7 linked regions of the Canis lupus familiaris genome follow. The protein of the gene in region 2 purifies or fractionates together with the protein of the main gene of each other region. This does not show direct contact. Links are inferred from orthologs where the notes say so. Each region holds a gene or a part of one and is shown on either strand. Other genes may lie near its edges.

Evidence for each region.
Region 1: the proteins of RELA (region 2) and RPS3 purify together in Homo sapiens (co-immunoprecipitation; 5 studies listed by BioGRID and IntAct, with this or other methods). This does not show direct contact. The link is inferred for Canis lupus familiaris from reciprocal best matches to the Homo sapiens genes RELA and RPS3.
Region 3: the proteins of RELA (region 2) and TWIST1 purify together in Homo sapiens (affinity purification with western blotting; 3 studies listed by BioGRID and IntAct, with this or other methods). This does not show direct contact. The link is inferred for Canis lupus familiaris from reciprocal best matches to the Homo sapiens genes RELA and TWIST1.
Region 4: the proteins of RELA (region 2) and STAT3 purify together in Homo sapiens (affinity purification with western blotting; 5 studies listed by BioGRID and IntAct, with this or other methods). This does not show direct contact. The link is inferred for Canis lupus familiaris from reciprocal best matches to the Homo sapiens genes RELA and STAT3.
Region 5: the proteins of RELA (region 2) and FBXW11 purify together in Homo sapiens (affinity purification with mass spectrometry; 6 studies listed by BioGRID and IntAct, counting the BioPlex papers as one, with this or other methods). This does not show direct contact. The link is inferred for Canis lupus familiaris from reciprocal best matches to the Homo sapiens genes RELA and FBXW11.
Region 6: the proteins of RELA (region 2) and NUFIP2 purify together in Homo sapiens (affinity purification with mass spectrometry; 3 studies listed by BioGRID and IntAct, counting the BioPlex papers as one, with this or other methods). This does not show direct contact. The link is inferred for Canis lupus familiaris from reciprocal best matches to the Homo sapiens genes RELA and NUFIP2.
Region 7: the proteins of RELA (region 2) and HDAC3 purify together in Homo sapiens (affinity purification with western blotting; 3 studies listed by BioGRID and IntAct, with this or other methods). This does not show direct contact. The link is inferred for Canis lupus familiaris from reciprocal best matches to the Homo sapiens genes RELA and HDAC3.

The regions. Positions count from the first base shown.
Region 1 is NC_049242.1:23,299,725-23,303,964, forward strand, and holds the start of RPS3 (40S ribosomal protein S3), read right to left. Parts: upstream 2,801-4,240; 5' UTR 2,767-2,800; coding exon 2,737-2,766; intron 1,699-2,736; exon of another isoform or gene 1,551-1,698; intron 1,420-1,550; coding exon 1,289-1,419; intron 788-1,288; coding exon 694-787; intron 207-693; coding exon 112-206; intron 1-111. UniProt on the Homo sapiens protein: Component of the small ribosomal subunit. The ribosome is a large ribonucleoprotein complex responsible for the synthesis of proteins in the cell. Has endonuclease activity and plays a role in repair of damaged DNA.
Region 2 is NC_049239.1:52,058,017-52,060,981, forward strand, and holds the end of RELA (transcription factor p65), read left to right. Parts: exon of another isoform or gene 1-58; intron 59-62; coding exon 63-143; intron 144-236; coding exon 237-311; intron 312-1,083; coding exon 1,084-1,679; 3' UTR 1,680-2,465; downstream 2,466-2,965. UniProt on the Homo sapiens protein: NF-kappa-B is a pleiotropic transcription factor present in almost all cell types and is the endpoint of a series of signal transduction events that are initiated by a vast array of stimuli related to many biological processes such as inflammation, immunity, differentiation, cell growth, tumorigenesis and apoptosis.
Region 3 is NC_049235.1:33,429,393-33,433,256, reverse strand, and holds TWIST1 (twist-related protein 1), read left to right. Parts: upstream 1-1,342; 5' UTR 1,343-1,455; coding exon 1,456-2,082; 3' UTR 2,083-2,124; intron 2,125-2,692; 3' UTR 2,693-3,364; downstream 3,365-3,864. UniProt on the Homo sapiens protein: Acts as a transcriptional regulator. Inhibits myogenesis by sequestrating E proteins, inhibiting trans-activation by MEF2, and inhibiting DNA-binding by MYOD1 through physical interaction. This interaction probably involves the basic domains of both proteins.
Region 4 is NC_049230.1:20,469,442-20,472,941, forward strand, and holds part of STAT3 (signal transducer and activator of transcription 3), read left to right. Parts: intron 1-1,286; coding exon 1,287-1,445; intron 1,446-1,574; coding exon 1,575-1,667; intron 1,668-2,719; coding exon 2,720-2,779; intron 2,780-3,500. UniProt on the Homo sapiens protein: Signal transducer and transcription activator that mediates cellular responses to interleukins, KITLG/SCF, LEP and other growth factors. Once activated, recruits coactivators, such as NCOA1 or MED1, to the promoter region of the target gene.
Region 5 is NC_049225.1:41,241,322-41,244,821, reverse strand, and holds part of FBXW11 (F-box/WD repeat-containing protein 11), read right to left. Parts: intron 1,930-3,500; coding exon 1,819-1,929; intron 699-1,818; coding exon 620-698; intron 1-619.
Region 6 is NC_049230.1:43,380,461-43,384,558, forward strand, and holds the start of NUFIP2 (nuclear fragile X mental retardation-interacting protein 2), read right to left. Parts: upstream 2,801-4,098; 5' UTR 2,702-2,800; coding exon 2,407-2,701; intron 1-2,406. UniProt on the Homo sapiens protein: Binds RNA.
Region 7 is NC_049223.1:35,742,557-35,746,595, reverse strand, and holds the start of HDAC3 (histone deacetylase 3), read left to right. Parts: upstream 1-1,239; 5' UTR 1,240-1,328; coding exon 1,329-1,383; exon of another isoform or gene 1,384-1,403; intron 1,404-1,489; coding exon 1,490-1,572; intron 1,573-2,934; coding exon 2,935-3,077; intron 3,078-4,039. UniProt on the Homo sapiens protein: Histone deacetylase that catalyzes the deacetylation of lysine residues on the N-terminal part of the core histones (H2A, H2B, H3 and H4), and some other non-histone substrates.

The sequences.
Region 1 (4,240 bases), on a different chromosome or scaffold from region 2:
ATCAGGCTCCCTGTGAGGAGCCTGCTTCTCCCTCTATCTCCCTGCCTCTCTGTGTATAACTCATGAATAAATAAATAAAATCTTGAAAAAAAAAAGTCTCAGGACACTTACCTCCGCACAGCAAGGCCTCCTAGGAGTTTGTAACGCAGTGACTCTGCCTGGGCAATAGCACATAGACCTCTTGTGGCCACCTTTTCGGCATAGAGCTTTAAGAAGAAATCAAGGTACACCCTTAAACCTGTTAACTTTCCCCATTGTTTTCAATTAAAGAAAAAAAAAAAACTCATTCACCATACAAGCATGTGGTCACTGTGGCATCCCTCAAGTACTAAAACACTCCTACTACTCATAGGTAGCCTACGCTGTGACATAGTCTGAATCTTTCCTTATTGCCCTCTCATCCCTAGATACTTCTACAGCTACATCAAGTGATGGGATAGCCAATCCATCATACATATCATTACCATACTTAAGTTGAGAGTAAAAAAAAGTCCCTTAACCACCAGAAATGAGCAGAAAAGGCCTATAAAATAAAGCCTGCTACTTATTAAGACAACCAACAAAACACCAATTCATATGTAATACTTGGTGATAACTAAGGTCTTCATGACATTAAGGGTTTATAAAAGTAACCACCCTAAATAACCATTTCCAGGTCCACGGTAATCTCTGGCAAAAGGCAAAATCACTCACCTCTACACTGCCCTCAGGAAAACCAAACCTCTTCTGAACCACAGCAGTCAATTCCCGGATCCTCCGGCCCTTTTCACCAAGAACATTCTGTGTCCTGAGAAAACGAAAATACACAATAGCTCTCACAAAACTGCAAACATGGCTTTAAATTTTACATATATGTGGTAATGAAGTCTCACCCGTCTAACATAGAAAATACAAATTTTGGATGACAAGAGCTAGAATCAGATTTAAAAGGCAGTTACGAAAATACACATTTGTGGGGTGCCACGTTGGCTCAGTTGGTAAGTGTCTGCCTTTGGCTCAGGTCACTCAGGTCAAGATCCCAGGGCCCTGGGATCAAGCCCGGCAAAGGGCTCCCTGCTCCTCCCTCAGCCCCTCAACACCCCCTCCCATCCTCCGCTTTGCACTCTCAGTCAAATGAATAAAATCTTTTTTTTTTTTTTTCAAATGAATAAAAATCTTAAAAACAAAAACAAACCACTTACGTTTGCTAATAAGGCCAATTCACTGGTTCTCCCTGGAAGTTTACAGAATACACCAACCTAGCATATACAACAAGTAACAGGTGCTAACCAGGAAAATGAGATCTCACCTGGTGGCCAGGATAATGATTTCTGTCCTGGTTGGTGTAACTCGGACCTCAACCCCAGAGTAGCCATCTTCAGCGAGCTCCCGAGTGAGAAACTCATTCAGTTCAGCTTTGAAGATGCCATCAGCGACAAACTAACCAAAAGGGAAAATTCACAATTAGAACGTGGGATGGCAGGGTCATTGTCCTTCTGCCAATGCAACACCTCATACAAACATCCCATCATCACTCTTACTACCCTTGTTCCAACACAGAATTTAACAACCCTTCTCAGACAAATGCCTCTAGATCGTCCTTTGGAAGTTACTTTAACCCAAGGACCCTTAAAACTGCCACAGAACGCAGCAAGGAGTAGGGGCCGCCTGGCAAAGATAACACCTCCAGTCAGACTCGTCATCTTCTCTTCATTGAAGGGTTTTAAAGACTTCTTTAGGAGTAGCACATGCCAAACAAACAGCTGCTCTAAAATGGCACATTCACGGGATGCCCAGGTAGCTCAGCAGTTAAGCGCCTGCCTCCGGTCCAGGGCGGCGCAGGGCGTGATCCTGGAGTCCCGAGATCCAGTCCCACATCGGGCTCCCTGCATGGAGTCTGCTTCTCCCTCTGCCTGGGTCTGTGTCTCCCATGAATAAATAAGTAAAATCTTAAGATAAATAAAATAAAATGGCACATTCACAACTCCTTCTGTCTGCAGAGCAGAGATGCTACCTTTGTAACCCATGAAAATACGCTGCCTTCAGGGACCATCAGAAGACTCCCAGCCATGTTATCTTGCCTACAGTACATGTCTCACAAAGCTGAACTCTAATTCGAAAAAGTGTGTGGATTTGCACGACGCTGTGTACACACACAAAATGACAAGTTAGTTGCCTCTTTCTAAAGCAAGCGGACTTTACAGTTTCCGCCTGCGGAAAAGCGAAAAGTTAAAGCTCGATCCAGTGCTCTGTCCGGTTCTCCTCCCTCCCGGTTACTTTCTCCGCGGTAGAGACGGGGCAAGATACAGCAGCCTCTCCAACCGAGGTCTCGGGGGTCAGAGGGCCGCGCCCCGACACGAAGAAGGCGTGCACACGCCACCTCCCCCCCCCAAAGTCCTAGTGAGAGACATTAGGGGGAACGGCCCAACCTCTCAAAATACGCTTACTAAAGCTACCTGTTAACCAAGTAATGCTCCCAAGCGCTTTGTCTCGGGCGGGAGGGGCGCCCGGTGCTCACGTCTGGTCTTCGCCCAGAAGCGGCAGACGTCTCTCATCACTCCCTTCCGCCGCCAAACCGCGCTCGCCTGGCTCGGGCCTCGCATTCAATCCACCGCCATCCGCGGTCCGCGGGAATGCCACGCGGCCCAGGCCGCTTCCCGAAGCAGGGCTCGAAGCTGAGGGTCTCGCGACGGCATCTCGACAAGCCTCGACCCGCGCGGCACCACAGATCCCCGAACCTAGACCCCAGCGTCTTACCTTCCTCTTCTTGGAAATTTGCACCGCCATCTTGCCGCCGCGCGCCCCGGAAAGAAAAGGAAGTGGCTCGTGGGCGGAAGTAGGTATAAAGGGCGCGAGCTACGACAAAGAACTGCGCGACGTCGACGCCTGTAGGCGCTCCTGGGAATTGTAGTTTTTAGGAAGGCATTAAAGAGGGGAAAAAAAGGAGGGGTAATGGAGACACGTATAGGCAGAAACAGGAAAGGGAGCAGATCAATCAGGGGAGCTTAGGTCCAATTCTTATTAGCTTAAGTGAGCAACGTGAGGCGCAGAGATGGAAATTACAGGTATAAACTCACACAGCAACAGCGTGCAATCCTAGTCCCTGCACTCTACACTCAATGAAATTCGTTTAGGTCCAGCCCTTCTGTGTCCGTTTTCTCTGTTCCAAATGCTGGCGATATAAATATCTAATATTTATTAAATATGCTAGGGACTGTTCTATGCCCTTTATATTATGAACTCATTTACCTCTGCCTCACTTTCATAAAGTCCATTAAAACTAGTAACGGAAGTCACCAAGTAGTGGTTCATGGGGTCACAATTATTTTTCCGTTAAAAAAAACTGTACCCCTTATATTTTGAAATTTTCAAGCACACAGGAAGGTTGAAAGAATTATGTATATGCGTCACTAAGGTGATCCAATTAACATTTTTGCCATATTTGCTTTATCCCATATCTATCCATCCCTCTATCCACCCAAGGGTGCATCTTTTGATCTTTTTCAAGGTAAATTACAGCCCTCTGCACACTTTACTCTGAAACACCTCAACAACAGTTTTATTGAGAAATAATTGGCATACATCACTGTATACGTTTGAGGCATGCAGCATGATGCTTTGATTTACAAATATTGTGAAATGATGACCAAAATAGGTTCAGCTAATACCCATCGTGTCATACAGATACAATAAAAAGAAAAGAAGAAAAGAAAAACAAGTTTTTCTGTGATGAACAGTTTTATTTTAAATTTGAATAGTTTTTTTTTCAAAGATTTATTTATTTATTCATGAGAGACACAGAGAGAGTGAGGCAGAGACACAGGCAGAGGGAGAAGCAGACTCCCCACAGGAAGCCTGATGCAGGACTGGATTCCAAGACCCCCAAGATCACAATCTGAGCCAAGGGCAGATGTTCAACCACTGACCTACCCAGGTGCCCCTTAAATTTGAATAGTTTGCCTACATTTAAAAATCAGGAAACTTCTCTATAAAACTCTTTTAAGCTTCTCTTAAAAATACAGAAAGATCCAGCAAAATACTAGACCTACATTTCCTCATGGCAGCCCTCTCCTTCCCTGTTTTATGGCGAAGGGCTTTCCAACATGCCACAATCCCTGGCATCTTCACTCATTCATTGTCTGGCTCTAGAAGCCATTTGAGCTTTTCCCCAGCAGCAGAAAGAATCTGATGCAAAGTTCTGTCCTATACTCATGGAATCACCAGAGTTCTCGGGGGAGCAGAGCAGAGGGACCAGGGAAGA
Region 2 (2,965 bases):
TTGAAAGCCTTGGGGATCCATCTGAAAAGAGCGAGGCCCACTTCTCCCCATTACTTTTCTAGATGATCGTCACCGGATTGAAGAGAAACGTAAAAGGACATATGAGACCTTCAAGAGCATCATGAAAAAGAGTCCTTTCAATGGTGAGGGGGCAGTGGAGAGCATGAGAGAGGTGGCCAATGGGGGAAGGGGACGAGGAAGTGGGGGCTAGGAACTGACCCATCCTCACCCCACAGGACCCACTGACCCCCGGCCTCCACCCCGGCGCATTGCTGTGCCTTCCCGAAGCACGACTTCCGTCCCCAAGCCAGGTGAGGATTTCCTGTTGTCCCACCAGAACTACAAGCTCAAATCTGTTCAGCCTGTGGTTTAGACACCTTCTGGGTTGGGGGGATAAGCAGTCAGCTTCACCAGCAGGTGTCTGAATCCTGCTCTCTGTTGGGCTCATGTTTCTCAGGGCTTGAGGCCTAGTTACTACATCAGAGCCATTTGGGGTGTGGTGAAGACATGCATTCCCGGGCCCCTTACTGACCTGTGCAATCAGGCTTTGGAAACATGGCCCAGGAAGCAGCTAATGCACTAGTGAGCACTGAGGTCTGAGAGCCACTGTGTCAGCTAGGTCCCATATTGGATGCCTTGGGAGATAGTTTAAAAATGTAGTCTTTGACCTCAGCTCTCAATCGAATTAGGGAAGCAAAATCCCCTCCAATGTAGTAGAGTGTATATGCTGGTAGCTGGTAGCAGAGTAACAAAAAAGAGTAACAAAGTGCCCTGCTTCAGGCCATGACACTGGATGCTACTTGGGCTCAGTGTCCAGGCTCCTGGTCTCTTGAAGTTTTACCAGCTGATCTCTGACAGCATCCCTTTCTCTTAAAGGCTAGGAGAGCTTTGTGGGGCCCCACAGGAGGGGGTGAGGATAGAACTGCACAGGTCAGATGGAGTAAAAGGAAGGAGTGAGGGTGCTGGCAGGGAGCTCCTAGGGAGGTGTTGATCCTAATCCCTAGCACAGGGGCTAGGGCACAGACAACGGGGTGGGTCTCTACAGCTTCCTCTGGCCCCTGATTCTCTGTCTCTTTCTCCCAGCTCCCCAGTCCTATCCCTTTACGCCATCCCTCAGCACCATCAACTTCGAGGAGTTCTCCCCCATGGTCTTTTCTTCGGGGCAGATCTCAAGCCAGACCTCTGCCTTGGCATCAGCCCCTGCCCCTGCCCCAATCCTGGCCCCGGCCCCGCCAGCCCCAGCCCCTGCCCCAATCTTAGCCCCAGGCCTTGCTCAGGCCATGGCCCCCCCTGCCCCCAAGACCACCCAAGCCGGGGAAGGGACGCTGACAGAGGCCCTGCTACAGCTGCAGTTTGATGCTGATGAAGACCTGGGGGCCCTGCTGGGCAACAGCGCTGACCCAGCCGTGTTCACAGACCTGGCCTCCGTCGACAACTCTGAGTTTCAGCAGCTGCTGAACCAGGGTGTATCTGTGGCCCCCCACACAGCCGAGCCCATGCTGATGGAGTACCCTGAGGCAATAACACGCCTGGTGACAGGGTCCCAGAGGCCCCCTGACCCAGTTCCTGCTCCCGTAGGGGCCTCTGGGCTCCCCAACGGCCTCCTCTCAGGGGATGAAGACTTCTCCTCCATTGCAGACATGGACTTCTCAGCCCTTCTGAGTCAGATCAGCTCCTAAGTGGGTGTTACCCTGCTCAGAGCACTGGGTTGCAGGGGATGGAAGCCCTCCCAAAGCAAGCACTTATGGATTCTGGGGGCGGGGGGGGGTTGTATGTGCTCCAACTGCCCCCACCTTCTTTGGGTGATGTCTTGGGGGGGGTGCATTTTATTCTTTTATTGGCAGTGTCTCTCTTTTTGGAGGTGCTTAAGCAGAAGCATTAACTTCTCTGGAAAGGGGGGAGCAGGGAGGACTCAAACTCTTCCACTATCCTAATGTTCAGCTCCCTTCTCTTTATAAGGAATTCTGGGGGCCCCCATCCCTACCCTCCAGCTTCTAATACTCTCCTAGAGAGGGCCGGGCTGGAGCTATGGCCTTTGAGGCCACAGAGCCTTATCACCAAGTGTCTTCCTCAAATCATGGATTCATTCTCACCTTGTGCCAAAATAATGCCCCCTACCAGCCCCTCTGTGGTGCTGGCATTGTCCTTAAACTAACACCAGCATTTGAGGGCCTGTCCCCCTGGCCCAGCAGAGGTCTCTACCAGCTCTTCCCTTGCTCAACTGTGGCCCAGGGGGACTGGTGGGACAACACTGGCCCTTTCCAGGATCCAGGGAGGTTCAGTCCGAGACTTTTCTGTTCCCCCTTTTCTCAAGTGCCTTAATAGTAGGGCTAGGTGTTTGGAGAGTAGGGGGGAGGGCAGGCTGGCAGCTCTCCAATCAAGAGGCTCGGTTTTTACTGAAGAATGAAAGCAGTTGGACTCTTGCTCTTTCTACTCTGAACTAATAAATTCATTGCCAAGCTGGCCGTTGGTTTCCCTTCTTTTAGCAAACCGAACACTCTTGGCTGGTCACGTCAGGCTGGACATTAGTGAGAGCTGGATGAATATTTACAGTGCCTTCTAGAAGTCTGAGGATCAAAGCCCGTGGGTCAAGGCAGGCAACTAATGTGGGTGGGGGCTCAGCATAGAGAAGAAGGCCCAGTGGGGCCCACTGGCTGTGGGGATGGAGTAGTTTCAGGAAGGGCATCAGAGGCCATACCAGCTTTAGGTCTTAGATCAACAGAGGCAGGAGAGTCTTTACAGAGCCGCTACCAGCGTTCCAGTGTGAGACAATCTTGAAAAGCTTGGATGGGGCCAGGCTATAAAGGTCAAGGACTCTGAATTTAAAAACGGTTTGAATTTCATCTCTTGAGTGGCCAAGGGAAAGTCCACATCTGTTGAGGAAGAGGAGATTCCAGGTAAAGGTCTATGCTCTGACATCCTGTTCTGCGAGGGCCGAAGAAATAAATCAGCGTAGAGAGGCCTA
Region 3 (3,864 bases), on a different chromosome or scaffold from region 2:
AACGGGCAGCTGCGCGGGTTCGGGGTGGAGGGTGGGGGGTGGGCTTGAACCCCACCTCGCTCTCTTACGAGCCTCCCTTTAGGGGTCACGATGTGGGGCTTTATGTGGGGGTACGGTAGGGATGACACGGCCGCGGGGTCCTCCACCTTGGGCCGGCAGCTCAGGCGACGCGGGCCGCAGCGAAGACCCTGCGCTGTCCCTCTCCGGCCCGCTGCTTTCTCCGAGGACAGGGCTGACTTCCGAGAAAAGAACGAACTTCCTCTTTTTAGCCCCGTCGGAGGTGAAGTCTTTGGGGTGGCAAGCGGCTTTAGGCTTGGGTCGCTGTGGCGGGATAAAGGAAGGCCCAGATGCTTCTGAGGGAGGGGTGAGAGCAGGCCGGGGCACCGAGCCGCAGTCCCCGCAGTCGCGGCCACGTCTTCAAAAACCGCCCACGACCTCAGGGCCAGCCGCGGTGGTTTGGGCTTTGCAACTCGGGGTGTGGGGGTGGGGAGGTGGGGAGGTGGGGAGCCCCTCCGTCCACCTGGCTATAGGGAGGAGAGCTCCGCGGCTGCCAGTTTTCTTGCCCCTGCCCCCGCCCCGGCCATCCCAAAGCGGCCCCCGCGGACCTAGAGGGTACAGGGGCGAGATGAAGCATCACCCACTGCGTAGAAGCTGTAGCCGGAGCTGCCGCTGCTGTCACATCCACTCCGGGAGGGACTGACACCGCGGCCGAAAGGTCCCCTCCGGCCGCCTTCCGGGGCTGCGCTCGGGTGCGGGGGCGCGGCCCGCGCGCGCTCGGGCGCGGAAGGAAATCGCCCCGCGCCGGCCCGCGGAGGGCGGCGGGGCGGGAAGGGGGAGGGCGGCGGGGCGGGGAGGGGAGGCGGGGAGGCGGGGAGGCGGGCAGAGGGCCGGCCGCCGCAGCCAGGTCGCCTTTGAATGGTTTGGGAGAACGAATTGTTAGACCCCGCGGAAAGGGGGGTGGGGGTGGGGACGAGGAAGGGGGTGGGAGGGCAGGGGGGCCTGGAAAGCGGAAACTTTCCTATAAAACTTGGAAAAGTCCCTCCTCCCCACGTCAGGCCAATGACACCGCTGCCCCCAAGCTTTCCGCCCGCGCGGAGGTATAAGAGCCTCCGAGGCTGCAGCTCTCGTCCAACTCCCAGACACCTCGCGGGCGCGCCGGCACCGGCGGCGGTTCCGAGGGCAGGGCCGGGCCGGGCCGGGCGTGCGTGCGGCCGCTGGGCGCTTCTTTTTGGACCTCGGGGCCATCCACACCGTCCCCTCCCCCTCCCGCCTCCCTCCCCGCCTCCCCCGCGCGCCCTCCCCGCCCCGCCGAGAGCCTCCCGGGCCTCCTCCCGCCCCTTCCTCGGCGGCCGCACCGCCCGGGCCGGCGCCGCGCGCGGGGGAAGCTGGCGGGCTGAGGCTCCCCGCCGTCCTCCCTTTCCCGGGCCTGCGAGGCCGCGCGCTGCCACCTGAGAGATGATGCAGGACGTGTCCAGCTCGCCAGTCTCGCCGGCCGACGACAGCCTGAGCAACAGCGAGGAGGAGCCGGACCGGCAGCAGCCGCCGAGCGGCAAGCGCGGGGGGCGCAAGCGGCGCAGCAGCCGGCGCAGCGCGGGCGGCGGCGCGGGGCCCGGCGGGGCCGCGGGCGGGGGCGTCGGAGGCGGCGACGAGCCGGGCAGCCCGGCCCAGGGCAAGCGCGGCAAGAAATCTGCGGGCGGCGGCGGCGGCGGCGGCGGGGCGGGCGGCGGCGGCGGCGGCGGCGGCGGCGGCAGCAGCAGCGGCGGCGGGAGCCCGCAGTCGTACGAGGAGCTGCAGACGCAGCGGGTCATGGCCAACGTGCGGGAGCGCCAGCGCACGCAGTCGCTCAACGAGGCGTTCGCCGCGCTGCGGAAGATCATCCCCACGCTGCCCTCGGATAAGCTGAGCAAGATCCAGACGCTCAAGTTGGCGGCCAGGTACATCGACTTCCTCTACCAGGTCCTCCAGAGCGACGAGCTGGACTCCAAGATGGCAAGCTGCAGCTATGTGGCCCACGAGCGGCTCAGCTACGCCTTCTCGGTCTGGAGGATGGAGGGGGCCTGGTCCATGTCCGCGTCCCACTAGCAGGCGGAGCTCCCCACCCCCTCGGCAGGGCCGGAGACCTAGGTAAGGACCGGCGCCTCCGCGGGTCAGGTGGCGGGCGGTCAGACGGACGGCCGGGCCGCGGCTCCCGGCCCACCTGGCCTTCCTCCGCGCCCCCCCCCCCCCGCCCAGGTCGTCCCCCGCCCCCCCCCCATCAGCCTTCCCACCCAGCCTGGCACCGCCACCTCTTCCCCCGAGCGTCCCTGAAAGGCAGGTCGGTCCCCGCTAGGGTGAGGGGGACGCGCCCCGTGCCGGGTGTGCTGCGTGTGCGTGAGTGTGCGTGTCGGACAGGAGGGAGGACTTGAGAGACACTCGAGGGTCGTGGGGAAGGGCAAGTCTGGTTGCCAGCGCCTCCCTTTCTTCTGGCTCTAAGTTTTCGTTCTCCTTAAAACAAATGCTTCCAAATTCCACCTCCTCCTTCTTTCCGGCCACCCACTTCCTCTTGCCCTTGGGCTGAAATCCTTCCAGGTTGTTCAGCGTAATTTCTCAGTAGTGGTGATAAGAACAGTGCTCGCTAGTCTTAGAAAACAGCCACGAAGACCTAAACAATAACCAACTTTCCAACCCCCCCCCCCCTTCTGGGTTTTTGCAGATGTCATTGTTTCCAGAGAAGGAGAAAATGGACAGTCTAGAGACTCTGGAGCTGGATAACTAAAAATAAATATATATGCCAAAGATTTTCTTGGAAATTAGAAGAGCAGAACCCAAATTCAAAGAAACAGGGCGTGGGGCGCACTTTTAAAAGAGAAAGCGAGACAGGCCCGTGGACAGTGATTCCCAGACGGGCAGCGGCACCATCCTCACACCTCTACATTCTGATAGAAGTCTGAACAGTTGTTTGTGTTCCTTTTTTTTTTTTTTTTTTTTGACGAAGAATGTTTTTATTTTTATTTTTTCATGCATGCATTCTCAAGAGGTCGTGCCAATCAGCCACTGAAAGGAAAGGCATCATTATGGACTTTCTCCATTTTAAAATGGTACCAACCAGAGGAATTTTAAGAACGTCTTTAGAAATAAAAATACGGGGATCTAACTGACTTGCAAAATCACAGTCAGTTAAACCCTCTTTACAGTCTTCCTCTGAGAGAGAAAAAAAAAAAACTTAAAATACAAAAAACAACATTCTATTTATTTATTGATGACCCATGGTAAAATGCAAATAGATCCGGTGTCTAAATGCATTCATATTTTTATGATTGTTTTGTAAATATCTTTGTATATTATTTTTCTGCAATAAATAAATATGATTGAAAATTTTAAGAACCTCAGAGTTTGGTCTATATTTTTAAAGCTCAGGATTAAGTTGGAGGTAAATACCTGCTTGTTTAACTCTGGAGGCACCCAGGAGGGAGGGGGCACTAATATAAACAAAGCAGTGAAAAACGCAAATAAACTAGCTACTGACAGGCACAGGCGTGTTATTTAGAAAGACAGCTTTATTATTATTATTCCAGTTTGGTGTTCAGTGGACTTTGTAGCATCTCTCCTTCATCTCTTATCAGGCCCCCCAAACAAGCAAAAACTTAGGAAATTTGTTACTCACTTCTCTTGCTTATATTTTGAGGAGGCAGCTGTAAAACAGTTAAATGCAAATAAGCAATATGAAGCCAGGACTATTTTTCTCTCGTTACTGTATTTTTTTGTTCTACCCTCCACTGTTTGTCAGGACTTTTAAGTAATAGCGTTCATTGCACTGAAAGGATGCCCAAAGTGTTACTAAAATGATCTGTATCTGTACACTTACAAATCAGTAGGAATGCGTAG
Region 4 (3,500 bases), on a different chromosome or scaffold from region 2:
TTATGCAGCAGATCTTTAGTGAGCTGAGCATCCAGATGTGCAAGGCCCAGCAATGTGCATGATGCATGGGCTTGAACTATGAGAAATTTGACATAAAGGGGCACCTAGAGACTTAAAGCATGACATTGGAAATTTAGGACAGCCCTACATGAGAAAGCCTGTTTGTTCATATCCTCACTAACCCTGAATTTTGTTAATTCACTTAAAGCAGTGTTAAGTGTTTTCTGGTCAGGGACCCAGAAAGCTTAAGTTCTGGCAATGGGAGAATGTAAGTGGCAAAAGAGAGTTGGGGAACCCAGAAATCTCAGCAGCTGTCCTGTTCCTCCTCATGCTCCACACACCCCCACATCTCTGCCTTCTCTCTTCAAGGTCTTTTAGTGTTTATTAATCATGCGCTTCAACCTCTTCTGTCATGCAAGGGGACACGAAGACCTGTGCTGCAAAGGGACGTGGCCAGGGTTACACAGATAGTAAGTGACAGAGCTAGCTCAAGCCCATCCTCTTGGGATGTCTAATTGCCTACACTTCCCACATTTTGGTACAAGGATGGGTTAGGATAAAGGCAGTACCACATTTCATATTTCATGTTCTCCATACCTGAGTTTGAATGCTTGTCACTTTCTTTCTTTTTTTTTTAAGATTTTATTTATTTTAAGAGAGAGGGGGAGAGAGAGAGAATATAATCGAGGGGGAAGGGCAGAGGGAGAGGGAGAAGCAGGCTCCCCGCTGAGCAGGAAGCTCCACCCTGGGCTCAATCCCAGGACTCTGAGATCATGACTTGAGCCAAAGACAGATGCTTAACCAACTGAGCCAGCCAGGTACCCTTTCTTGTCACTTTCTGATGATTATTCTATTCCTGCTTCTTAGGGATATAAGTTTTAACACTTCTTCCTCTATGCCAGCTCTTTTTGAAATGTTAAATTTTAAGAAGGAACTGTTAAAACACAAAATCCCTATTTCTTATTTTTATTTATTTATTTATTTACTTACTTACTTACATAAGCGCTGCACCCAACATGGGGCTTGAACTTATAACCCCGAGATCAGACGGCACATGCTTTACCAACTGAGCCAGCCAGGTGCCCCCCATTTTTTATTTGATATTGCTGAATGATACACTCACAAGTGATAAATGTTACGTTATACCACAATAAAAAAAAAATTCCCCCTTTCTTATCCGAAGGGACTACATGGTGGTGTTTATATCTGTGGGCTTCCCTTCCCCTTCTCCAGCTCACCGGTGTGCACTCACTTAGTAACTGGTAGCTTTCTCATTTTATTGGCAGGATAACCTCATTAGCAGAGTCACAACTTCAGACCCGCCAACAAATTAAGAAACTGGAGGAGTTACAACAAAAAGTGTCCTATAAAGGGGATCCCATCGTCCAGCACCGGCCAATGCTAGAGGAGAGGATTGTAGAGCTGTTTAGGAACTTAATGAAAAGGTAACTTCGAATTCCGGTTCCTTTCCCTCATCGCTCCCCACCCCACCACCTCCTTTGCTTTGAGGCGTAGAACGAAAACCAGTTCACTGCAGAGTGTATATGTGGACTGCTGTCCTCTTTGCCTTTCAGTGCCTTTGTGGTTGAGCGGCAGCCTTGCATGCCCATGCATCCTGACCGGCCGTTAGTCATCAAGACTGGCGTCCAGTTCACTACCAAAGTCAGGTGGGCCCCATATTTCCTCTTTTGGTAGATATTTTATTTTTTAAATAAATGTTATTTATTTATTTATTCATGAGAGACACACAGAGAGAGTCAGAGACATAGGCAGAGAGAGAAGCAGGATCCATGCAGGGAGCCTGATGTGGGACTTGATCCTGGGACTTCTGGGATCATGCCCTAGTCTGAAGGCAGACGCTCAACCACTGAGCCACCCAGGTGTCCCTGGTGGATATTTTATTGAGAGATGTTCTTAGGATGAGAGCCGAGTTGATGGCCAGAGTTTTCCTTTCTAGGCCTCACGGGTGGTAGTATAGTGGGTATGGAATTTGCTGGCATAATATCGTATCAATTTGCTTCTTAATTCTCCTGTCAAAAGCTAAGGAATGATTACCTCTTTTTGAGGTTACATGAATATATTCCTACAATTTCAGGCCTATAGTCTTGGGCCATTGTGTCTCCTTCATCCCTGCAACAGAGGCATACTAATGCTGGTTATGTTCTATCCTTGGTGCCTACTTTTCACTACGAATTTTAGGGGAAAGAGTAAGGCATCGAGATATAGAAGCTAAGAGGCCATAGAGCAGGTGGGTGGTGGGCCTGCAGGGTGGGGTGTGACTTTCACACCCAAGTCAGGACAGGTATATTGGGGTTTGGTCTTCTGCAGTGAAATTTCCCTCTTTAGAAACTGGGTGTTAGGTTTCAGGCTTAACAGAAAGCATACCAGCTGCAGAGCGCGTGTTCCTGTAATAATTCTCATGAAACGACTTTCATTATCCTTTTGTAAATCTCATACAACTTTGTCCAAGTTTGTGGTTTTTACGCTTTCTATCAGTAACAATGGGCCTGAAGGGGTGATACTCAGTGTAAGGTCAAAGATGTCACTAGTAGGAAGAGGAATCTGGGATTGTGTTTTATTCACCTTTTAGAAATGAAGGGTTATGAATTCTGTATTCCTTTGAGTAGGAGTTAGTGGTGGAGCCTATTGACTTGTTTTTAAAACTGATATATTTTTTTCTTTACTCAAAAACTTTCCCTCCCACTTTCTTTTGAAATAGATTGCTGGTCAAATTCCCGGAGTTAAATTATCAGCTTAAAATTAAAGTGTGCATTGACAAGTAAGTACTCTGTATGTTAGCTTTTTTTTTTTTCTTTTTTCAAATGAGGGACAGAAATGAGAACTTGGATAATTATCATGTGAACTTAGAGGCTTTATCTCCATTTGGGGATCTTCATTTTTTGAATAGAAGTTTTCAAAAGTCTTGCAGTTCATTGTCATTTGCATGCCTGAACAAAAAACCACAAAGCTGGTGGTACAGATATGAGTTGTGATTGCTATTGTGACCCTGGGTCCTCCTTTTTCTTTAATTTTTTACCTGCAGACTTTTATTATAAAGATGTTGATCCTTCTTGAGAAGGTTAATGTGGCATAAGCAAAATACGTATAGAATTTCTTAACTCTTGACTTGCTCTTCAAGCTGTATCTTAGATGAGAAAAATAGCCAAACATTGTTTCTTTAAAGGATTTATTTATTTATTTATTTAAAATTATGGTAAAAATTTTAACATAAAATTTACCATTTTAATCATTTATAAGTGTATAGTGTTACATATATTCACATTGTTGTGCAACGGATCTCCAGAACTTCATCTTGCAACATGGAAACTTTCCAACCATTAAATAACAAATTCCTGTTTCCCTGTCCTCCCAGCCCCTAGCAACCACCATTCCACTTTCAAAAAAAATTTTTAATGAATAAAGATAAATAGGAATGGTGTAGGAAGATGCCTTGCCAGATACTAAAATGTATCACAAAGTTTCAGTTACTATATGAGTGT
Region 5 (3,500 bases), on a different chromosome or scaffold from region 2:
AATAGTCCTAATCACAGTACTGCATGTTCTAATCAGTGCAAGAAGCAAAAAAATAGAAATAAAAGGTAAAGCTACTGAAAATAAGAACAAGTCTATCAATATTTTCAAACAACTGTCTCCTCATTAATGTAACAAAAGCAACCAGACTATTAGAAATAATGAGCCTGCCAAAGTTGCTAAAACAAGATTAACACATAAAAATAAGGTATTTTTATATGCCAAAGCAATAATCCATACAATATAGATTAAGGGGAAATTCCATCATAATACAAACATGTGCTATATTATAAAAATATAACGTAACCAGATACCCATATTAAGAAATCTCCCAAATCTACAGGAAATACTTTGTACTCTAGAGGAAACCAATCCACCTACAAATGAGGATGCCTGCTTTCACATATTAAGTTGTATTAATGCTCCTTGGGAAAGAGCTCCCTGTAATGTAAATGTCAGTTATTCTCTGCTTTTGGCTAAACAAAATGAACAAAACAGCGCATTTCTCTGAAGGCACACTGTGATGAGATACACAAGCTTTCTTGTGATACACCTAGGCAGGTCTATCTGCAGGTATCATCTTCCAGGGCAGGAACCACTCCCATTTCAACAGATTACATACCACCAATGTGCGCAAACACAAAGTGCTTGCTGGGGCTCGAGGGTCAAGAGCAGCTTGCAAGTCCCAAACTTTAATTTTCCTAGAAAATAAATGGAGATTGCGATTAGTAGAAAAGTTAACAACATTTCATATACCGTCAGGAACTTCCTTGATAGAAAAAAGTACATCTGAACTGCTATTAGAAAAGCTAATGGAGGGATCCCTGGGTGGCGCAGCGGTTTGGCGCCTGCCTTTGGCCCAGGGCGCGATCCTGAAGACCCGGGATCGAATCCCACATCGGGCTCCCGGTGCATGGAGCCTGCTTCTCCCTCTGCCTGTGTCTCTGCCTCTCTCTCTCTCTCTGTGACTATCATAAATAAATAAAAATTAAAAAAAAAAAAAAAAAAAAAAAAAAAAAGAAAAGCTAATGGAGACTGCTTATGTCGTAACAAGTCATTTAAACCATTTACACTTGATTTTGAAAAAAAAAATAAGGACCTACACATTCTCGGAATTATTGAAACTGTGAAGAAATATTTTTTAAGGGAGATGAGAAAACAACTTCAGGCTATCTAAATTCAGTTCCTGACCTGATAATCTATGTCACCAAATTCATTAATCAGAGGGCTTTCTGGAGCTGAGTAGGTGCTGCTGACAGAAGCTAGGACTCTCTGTGAAATTCCAAGGATACCTTTCTTCGAACTAAGCAAAGGAGTATAAACAGACCAACTAGTCCATTTGTGAAGTATACATAAAGTCACCTTGAAAGGTTTACAGTTGCCATTTGCTCATTTAAAAAGTCCTGAGGCTTTTTTAAAAAAGAGTGTTTAACCAAAGGGTAAAGGAAATGGACCACTGAACACACACACACACACACACACACACGCACGCACACACAGCTAACTTAATTTAGGACTGAGGCAAAGAATGGAATTCCTGTACAACCTAAGCTACTTACAAAGTTTACAATAATGGTTACACTAATGGTTAAAAGTGTAAGCATAGGAGTTACAGAAGCTATCCTACTGTAAGACTTGGGGCAAGACCACTCATCCTTCTGGGCCTGAGCGGCTTCACCTGATCAAGTGGTATAATAACATCTGCCATCCATTACACAGATCTAGCACAGAATTGGCACATACATAGTTGCTTAATATACAGCGCTTGTTTTTCCTCTAGATACAGTGATAGTAGTGTATTTAAAAATTTGAAATACATACCCATCATAGGCCCCACTGACAATCCTCTTGTTATCAAACCGGATGCATCGGACCAATTCTTCATGTCCCTCTAGGACTCTTAAACAGGCACCACATTCAATATCCCATAGCCTTGAAAGTAAAACAGATCTCTGTGAAACAACTTCCCACACATGATTCACACTATCCTTGAGTTCTTCATGTCTGTCCCATTCATGATTTTCACTCTCCTGAACTTGTTTCTATCTTCACTCCCAGTCCACATTATACACGTAGAAAGATACATATGTATATTTAGATCATTTGTATATTTTAAAGCACTAATTTGGCGGACACAGGGCTAGCTGAGTCAGAAGAGCATGTGACTCTTGATCTCAGGGTCATGAGTTCGAGCCCCATGTTAGGTGTAGAGAATACTTAAATAAATAAAAACATTTTTTTTTTTTTAAAGAGACTAAATTGGGTAGAAGCCTTCTCATTATATTTCCTTTTATTCAGTTTTTTAATCACATGCATGTATTACTATTCTTTTAATTTTTATTCGGCATTCTTTTAATGTCTGAATTGATGAAACCACGTAGCTAAATGGTATAACAAGGACTTTCCTGGGGGAGACAGGGATTGCAGGCAGTAAAGAGAAAGAAAAGGCATGTGTGTGGGTTGAGGAGAGGATATAGTATGTACAGCCAGGGGTGTTAGGCTTCCAGGCCAGGCACTTCTGGCCTGGAATCCATGAGGCCTGCTAAAGTTAGAACCAGTACACGAGGGGCACCTGGGTGGCTCAGTGGTTGAGCATCTGCCTTTGGCTCAGGTCATGATCCTGGGGTCCTGCGATCAAGTCCCACATCGGGCTCCCCATGGGGAGCCACCTTCTCCCTCTGCCTATGTCTCTGCCTCTCTGTGTCCCTCATGAATAAATAAATAAAATCTTTAAAAAAAAAAGAACCAGTTCATGAGCATGGAGGTTTCCCTCTCCTGATGAGGCTTAGGGACACCCCCTCTTAGATGATACTGCATATTAGGGTTGTCCAGTTTATGAGGTCATAGTGGGAGCCTCTTATTAGGTATATGAAGCATCTCAGAAATATAAACCCACACAATATCCAGACTTTTTCTTGGTGTATGATTTATATGTGAAACTGAAATTTTCACATTTTTCTATCATTGGTTTTCCTACATTGTTTGCAAAAAGAAATCATAAGCACGTACAAAACAAAGTTAGCAAACTAATTCTGTAACAACCTTTTCTTAGCCTCTCTACAAGTAGCTCTTACCATCCGCCCCATGAATATTTTATGACAGCCACCCTCAGCAAATCTTCTCATCAGTGTCAGGGACACTGGCTTCTCTAATCTACTGTGAACAGTGTCATTTAGCACTACCACTGACTCCAAAGTGGTCCCCTCTATAAACTGTAAAGGAATACACATTATCACTTTGTAAAACCTCAGAGAGTCCAGTGAGAAAGTTAAGGACTGTCTACTGCTGAAATAGTTAAGTAATAGAAAGCATCAAGACTCAGGTTCTCATGGTACTTTCATAATACCTTAAAAACTTAAAACGATAAAACTCACAGCAGTTTCGGCTCTATCATTGTGGTTTCATTCCCTCCTTCCTTCTTTTTTTTTTAAACCAATCTTTATTTTGCCCAAACATTAAACAATTTGGTTAGAAAAAAAGCCAGGACAATGGAAAAATGACTA
Region 6 (4,098 bases), on a different chromosome or scaffold from region 2:
ATATTTAAAAAGTCCTAAGTTTTCTTAGTAAATTAGTATTACACATGTTGAAGCAACAGTACTGCGACCAGGCCACACATGGAAAACTATTATCCCAAATTGTTTACATTCTCACAAAATTGCTAAACCCAGTTTCCCCCTCTTTATCCTCTTCCAGGATAGACCTATTAATTTAAAGAATACCACCTTGAATGGTTCAGGGGCTGTTTCTATCTGTAGAGGAGATTCTTGCAGGGGTATAATACCTGAGCAATGTTTCAAAATTTTCCAATGTGAACAGTAATACTGCTTTATATTCCACACAACCATAATAAAGCAAGATTCTTTCCTCTAAGTTGAAAAAGACCTAACGTTAAAACATTTAATGTTGTATACTTTCTAATAGTTTCAAACTGTTTCAAATCTGTTATGATTAAATACTCAATACATTTACATTCTCATTTCTACTGCACACGTGATGTCCCTACCCATCCCAGAAGTGGAAAATCTGGCATTCCAATTTGTCTTCAAGTTACATTAAATCTTCAATAGAATAGGAATTTTTCTCCAGCTCTCAGTAACTGCATCACATTTGATTTGCTGGGTTTAACATTTTCTTATCATTCCCTTCATTTCTTAATTTACAAAGAACCTTTAATTTGTAAAAAAACAAAAAACAAAACAAAAAAACCCTGCCTGATTCCAAGGTTTTAAGCTCATTTCTTCTCAAATGTCTTCTAAAATTACTTTTACTCTCAATTTAACATTTGTGAAAATCAAGAGTTTGGGGATCGTATCAATTTGAAAATAGGAAAACACCTTTCCTTTAAAAATGGAAAACAGCCTCGTCTGAGGCAAGATGGTAGTGAGCCAACCTCATGGATGAGCCACCTCGTTTCTCCCTTAAGGACAAGAAATAGGGGTCAAAAAAACTCACCCTCTACCCCATCCGATCATTTTTCTAATCCCTCTCCTCGAAATCGCTACACCCAAGCCCAGAAGGTAAATGCTGGGGGACTGGAGGGAGCTAGAACAAGCTTTTTTTGTAAAAATGAGCTGCTTGAAGAGAGGGCCCAAGTGAAAGCCTGAGAGGCGGAGTCGTGAGCGAACCTGGCAGGAGACGAGGTTCCTGTGGCAGAGAAACTCGTGACCGGGGAGCCTGGTTCCCGCTGGGTACCCCACCCGGCCTTCAGGCACCGCCTTTACCCAAAATGTATCCCCCCCGCCCCCAGCCCTCCTGCCCCAAGGAGCGCCGCAGCAGTCGCCCGCGGCCTCCTCCTCCCGGCCCCACTTCGAGGCCGGCTCCCCACCCGGACCGCCCGCGCCTCCCGCCGCACCCGGGAGCGGGAAACGCGGCCGCTGGCGCGCGGGGCCCGCTGCAGGCCGCTCCCCTCGTGGCCGCTTCCCTCCCCCACCCCAACCGCCCCCGCCCCTCACCCCAGGGACCCGCCCGGGGCCGCGCGGCCGCCACCGGGTTACACAACCCGGCCGGCGACGGGGGGAGGGGAGGCCACGGCCGGGGGCGACGGCGCCCCCGCAGGGCGGGGGGTGGGAGGCGACCGCGGGTGGGGATCCTGAGCCCCCCCAGCTCCGCCGCGCCGAGCCCCCTCGACACCCTTCCCCCTCCGCTCCTCAGCGGGCCGGAGTCGGTGACAGGAATCGGCTTCCAACATGGCGGACAGGAAGCGGCCCCGCGAGGAGGAGAGAACATTCCAGCCGCGCCGGCTCTGGGGGGAGCGGGCCCGGGCGCCGGGCTCGGGAGGAGCCGCGAGGGTAGACTGCGGGGTCCGGTGCCCAGAAAAGGCGCGCAGAGGTAGAAATGACTCGAGAGTCGAGGGGTCCTGGCCGCCCCCCCCCAGACGGGGAACCCCAAGGCCACAGGTGGGCTTGGGGTAGCGGGTGAGGGAGGACACTTCCTCAACTCTGCCCACCTACCCCCTCGCCTCGCCGCCTGCAAGAGGGTCTCGCGACACCACCCGCGTCGAGATTCGCTAGGCCTTCTAGAGATACACCCCGCGGGCTTTGGGGGGGTATGTTCACCCTAACTCAGGGCCACCAAATTCAGGTTCCTCTGGAGCCTCAGGAAGGTAAACGGGAAAGGAATAATGAGGCTAGATTCCCAAGGCCGACCCTGCAGGTCTCCCTCCAGCCCGGGCGGGGGCCGAGAAGGTCACACTGGCCTGGTTGGGCCTCTCCCATGCCGAGGAGAAGGAGAGGGCGCTGCAAACCCCGCGGCCCAGCCCGGGCTTTGGGAGAATGGAAGGGGGCTTCCCCGGACCCGCAGGACACCGAGACACACACACACACACACACACACACTCTCTCTCTCTCTCCGACCGCGTCCGCGCTTTCCACATCCAGCCCCACCCCCATCCCCTCTACCCCCCACCCCCATTCCCCTTCCCCCACTCGTCCTCCCTCCCAGACCTGTTTTCTTCTTCGGCGTTTCCTGGTGCTGCTGGAGGGTGTGTTTCTGCTCATGTTTCAGCGCCTTAGGCTGGGCCTTGGGGCTGCCCTCGGCTCCATGCTGCAGGTATTGGTGAGGCTGCTGGTGATGGTGGTGGTGATGGTGGTTGTGGCTGTGGTTGTAGAAATAATAATGGTGGTGGTGGTGCGGCGGCTGCTGCTGCTGCTGCTGCTGCTGCTGCTGCTGGGGGTGATGGTGCGGATGGTGGTGGCTGTGATGGTGCTGAGGCTGTGGCTGGCCGGGCTTCTCCTCCATTGAAAGCGGCTGGGACTCCCTGGCTGAGGCTGCGGGCTGCGGCACCGTCAGGATCTGAGACTGCTTCTCAGGGCTCACTCAGTATATCTGAGCGCGTCTAGCCAGCGCACTGGTTAACCGAGCGATTCTGCGAGATTGGCAGCGGCGCTCCAGCAATCAGGACGCACGCTGCGCCGCAGGCCCCGCCCCTAGCCCAAATCCTCTTTCCTTCCCCTTCGCTACTGCCTCCTGGCCAACGCCACTTACCCCGTGCAACCTCACAGGGCCGGGCCTTCAACGTCAGCACTATGGCTCTCTCTTCTGTCGCTTTCTCTCCTTCACCGCGCAGTCTGCGAACAGCACTTTCTACACTCCTCGCCCGCAAGCAAACTCACGTCGAGTGTAGCAGATTCCACTGGCGATTCCACTGGCTCTGGGAGCCATCTGTTGGTTTTGCACCTCCTAGAATGTTAGCTTTTTTTTTTTTTTTAATCCTTTTCCGGGTAATCAGAGGGGAAGCTCAGTTCCCTTAACCCTGAGAACCACTAAAGGGGCAATACAAAAAGAGGAAATAAATACATTTTTTAAGAATACAAGAGCTTCACAATCCAGTAGATCATTTTGTATTCTGGATTCATTTTGCTTTGTATTCATATGCTAATCTCTTCCTTTCCACGAAGGGATTATAGGGTTCCACAATGGGGTATCTGTGTAATTTTCTAAAAGGGCACAAAGGGTTTAAATCATTGTTTCTTTGTAGTTGGAGGCAAGGGAGAGCAGGAGGCATGAAAATCTAAACTCAACAGTGAAGTAGCTTTGTTGTTGTTGTTTTTAACTCCAGGTGAGGTCCACTGTAGAACCAAGATAAGTTGTAGAATATGAAGAGTTTCAGGAGTGAAAGGAGAGAGGGCACTTTAAAAGCTATTAATTAAAAAAATATTGCATGTATGGAAAATATTGGAATTTAAAGAAATGCTCCATTGATTTTGTAATGTTGATTTAATTTATCCTGCATTATCACATCACAACCTTATTTTTTTTAAAACCAAGGGTTAGTCAGGAACATTGTGAGTGAGAGTGTTACTCAGAAAGGAGGAGAAGCGTTTTGTTGGAGAGGGCCACAGGAATACCCTTTGTTAATATTTTATTTCTTGACCTAGATGGTGATTACACATGTATTTGCTTTATAATTACTTCTTAAACAGAATATTATGTATAATACACTATTCCCAATATATGTTACATCGAGGGGGATTTTCTTAATTTAGCATAAAACATGTTTAATTTACCACTTTAAACATTTTTAAGTATACAGTTCAGTGGCAGTAGGTACATTCACAGTGTTGTGCACCCATCACCACTGTCCATCTCCAGGACTTTTTCAACATCCCAAACTGAAACTCTGTACCCATGAAACA
Region 7 (4,039 bases), on a different chromosome or scaffold from region 2:
CCCAACCAAGGAGCTGTCCGTGCCAGGGGTGCTGGTCCGGGGCAGGGGTGCCAGACGGCGGCTGCGCAAGCCCGCTTCCACGACCCTGATCCTGCTTCCCCGACGCCCAGAGCGTTCCCCTTTCCAGCTTGTCCTGCGCTTCCGTCCCTCCCAAGGACACTGCAGAGCGAGACGGGACGGAATTCTCAGGCGGCCGGTGCAAGAATCGCGCCTGAGTCAGCGTCCGCACCTCCTCCGCGCGGGCCTGAGCCAGGCCTCGGCAGCCCCCTCCCCTGCCTGTATTCCCGCACGACGCCACCCTATTCCCTTCCTCCCATCCTCACCACCTGGCCCACTCGGTACCGGTGGTTTGGTTCTGGCTCCGGCTCCGGCTCGGGTTCCGGCTCCAGGGACGTCCTAGTCCGGCTCAGGGCCCCCGACGCCCTCCCGGCGCTCATCCCTTGCTTCCTCCCCCTCCCCCCTTCGCCACCTCACCGGCTCCGGGCTCCGGCTGCAGATACCGGTGCCGCGGCAGGCGGGGGGAGGGAAGGATGAAGAGGGATGCGGGCTGGTTGCGAGCGGCGGCTGGCTCGGGACAACTCCGGCTGTGGGAAGGGGATGGAGATGGGGGTGGGGGGCGCCGCCGCAGCTGCCCTGGGTTCCCAAATGCCTCCGCCAGTCGCCAGCCGCCAACCCGGGACCAGGGGGCGGAGCGCAGGTGTGCGAGGCGGAGAGCGAGAGGCTTGCGCGCTTGTGAGCGCAAGTGTGGTGCGCGCGTGACTGCGCCGTCCCCCGCCGCCCCCCTTCCGCCCCCCCGGGGGAGTGTGCGGCGCCGAGTCTGGGTCCGGGTGGGGAGGACAGGCAGTCAGAAGAAAGCGCGCTCCACTGGTCTATCCCGCATGTTTGGCGCGGCTCCCGCCCTCAGATGCCTCGGTCGGGTGGGTAGCCGGGAATCTTCCCCGCCGGCAGGGGAAGTTGGCTTTCTGCACCCGAGAGGGACGGCGTGGCCGGTTCCCCGAGTCTCCTAGACCTGCCCCGTTTGGGGCAGGTGGATGGACGAGACGGCTCAGATTCCTGAGGATTTGACCCCCGCCGGAAGGAAATGACTAGCATCCTAGCACCGAAGCCCCCGGTGCTCCGTAGAGCCCAGACGCTCAGGCTCCGGAACTTGGAAGGGCGAAGCCGAGCGAGGGGCGGAACTCCGCAGGGGGCGTAGCCTGGGAGGCGGGGCCTCACCTTCCCGGTTCCGCAGAGGCAAGCTGCGTGCTTACGCAGCACGTAGGAGCGGGGGTGGGGCAGGCGGCCGGGCGGGTGGTGGTGGAGGTGCGGGGCCTGGTCCCGCCGGCACCATGGCCAAGACTGTGGCCTATTTCTACGACCCCGATGTGGGGAACTTCCACTACGGTGAGGAAAGGAGGTTGTAGGTGAGGGGTTTCGGGACGCGGAGGTTTCGAGGCGGGGGCTACAACTCCAACGACGGGAACTGACGAACTCTCTTCTCCCACCCCAGGGGCAGGGCACCCTATGAAGCCCCATCGCTTGGCATTGACCCACAGTCTGGTCCTGCACTACGGTCTCTATAAGAAAATGATCGTGAGTCTCGCCGTCGCTGCTGGGTATTAAGGGTGCGGGCGAGTTGTGTGGCCCTACGATATAGGTGGGCTGCCCTGAATGCACCAGGTGCGACCCACCCTTGGGGTGGGGGTTGGGGGTTGGGGGTTGGGGAGGCTGGATATAAGGAGCCTAGAGCACCCGCCATATGCCCAGTGTTGGTGGGTGGATCCACCGCCTTAATGGGAGTTACTTTTTCAAACCTTAGGTTGGCCACTTTTGACCTCAGGTGGACCAACCTCTGGCCTGTGGTTAGGGTGGAATGGGGCTGGTTTGAAGACAGAGGTGTTTTTCTCCCTAGCGTCTTAGGATGTGGGCAGTGCTGTGGCTTCAGGAGAGAGGGGCTGGGTTACTTTATCTGGATGTGACGTGTTCCCACCGCAATTCTCACCCCTTCTCTGCCACCTCTCTCCACCTCCAAGGAGCTATAGCTCCAGGAGGGACTGCAGCCCTGTGTGCAAATGTGTGTATGGAAGAGAGCAGGAGATGTTCTGGGAATTTCTTTGTCAACTTAGCATACCCTCACAGGGTTATATTTAATTGCTACCCAGTCCTCCATCTCCCACATATGCACATGGGGACAGACAATCCCCATTTATAGGAATTTATAGTTGTGATAGGCAATTATAACAGTTAAGCTCAGCCCTCATGCGTCACAAGGGGAATTAGTCAATAGTATGAATGAGTGTTGTCTACTGTTTGTGCTGAGGCACAGTCTAGCGAATTAATTATAGAAAAGACCAAGGTGATATTAGTGCATGAATCTCTGAATCCCTTGAAATTGTTTGTTGATATATTCCTGTGTATATATTATCTCGGGAGAGAAGCTTTTTGTTCTTGCCCAATTTCTAAAGAAGTATGTGAACCCCTCAAAAGGTAATACATTTCTGGCTTCACACCTTGGCACCCTGGGGTTTTAATTAGTAAGTTGTCATATAACCCATATTATTTAACTCTAAAATTAAGAATTCAGAGAAGAGAGAGGATGGAATCAGAGCCAGGGGGAAGAGATGAGTATGGCGGAAAAAAAATAGGAGATCCAAGGAACAGGGCAGGTGGATAAGGGCTCAAGGTTGAGAAGGCGGGAAAGGTTGGGCTGGAAGTAGGAAGGAGAAGGCAAGCCCATTAGTTTTTTGGATGCTTGATTGTAGTACCCCACCTGACTAATCAGAGCCTCTCTTCTTCACTGACCTTTGCTTCATAGAATAACAAGAATTGGAGGGGTGAGGGGACTGCTGATGTGTGGTTTTTGGATAGTCCACAGGGCTGGGTTCAATGTGGGGAATCTCAGCCTGATGAATAGGACTGACTTTGCCTGGGTTCACCTTATGTTTCCATCCCGAGGTCTTCAAGCCATACCAGGCCTCCCAGCATGACATGTGCCGCTTTCATTCTGAGGACTACATCGACTTCTTGCAGAGAGTCAGCCCCACCAATATGCAAGGCTTCACCAAGAGCCTTAATGCCTTCAACGTGGGCGATGACTGGTGAGGGGAGAACTGGGATTTTTTAATGCCAGAATTTCAAGGAGAACACTTGAGTGAGGTCTTGTGACAGCAGTGGGAACATATGAATGGGGTCCTGTTTGTCAGTGAATCATCATTTTACTCATTTGGTTATTCAGCAAATGTTGGTCATTTGCTCTAGGCCAGGCCCAGTGCTAAGTGCTGGCAATGCAATGATACACAACAACAAAATTTTAATATTACAGTTGTGCTAAGTCCTGTGAAGGAGAGGTATCTGGCAGACTGTGAGAGTGTATACATGGGGAATTACCCATCTTGGGAGTGGGCTGATCAGTAGAGGCTTCCTAGAGGAAGTAATGGAGATTAAGGTAAGATCTGAAGAAAGAGCAGGGTTAATTAGATGAAATGTGGTTGGGAGGATAGGAGGTGAGGTCAGGAATGTTGTGGGTATTAGGGACAACATGTGCTTGAGGGTCTGTGAGAGGTTGGTGTGTCACTCACTTGAGGAACAGAAAAAAGGTCATTCACTGAATGAAAATGAAAAGAAAAATTATCTGAATTGTGGCTAAAGAGAGGGGCAGGGCCTGTAAAAAGTAAATAACCCTATTATGAATTAGGGCTCTTATCCCTAGAGTAGAGGGAAATTATCAAAGTGCTCTCAAAGCAAGAGAGTGATTTACATTGTGAGAGGTTTATACCGAGCTTTATCATACAAAGAAGGCTCAGAGTTAGGCCCTGTGAGGAAGGGAACAGATAACAAAGATAAGCCGTTATCCTGGCTTACATTCTCATGTATATTCATGAAGATGTAGTGATCATAACAGCTACCATTTATTCAATTTATTTTTAGCCTTTGTATTAGGAAACTTTCAAATATTTCTGAAAGAATAGCATAGTGAACTCCCATATATCCATCACCACCTGTAGCCCTTATGAGCCAATGGACAGTCTTACTTCATCTGCATCCCAGATTATTTTATTTT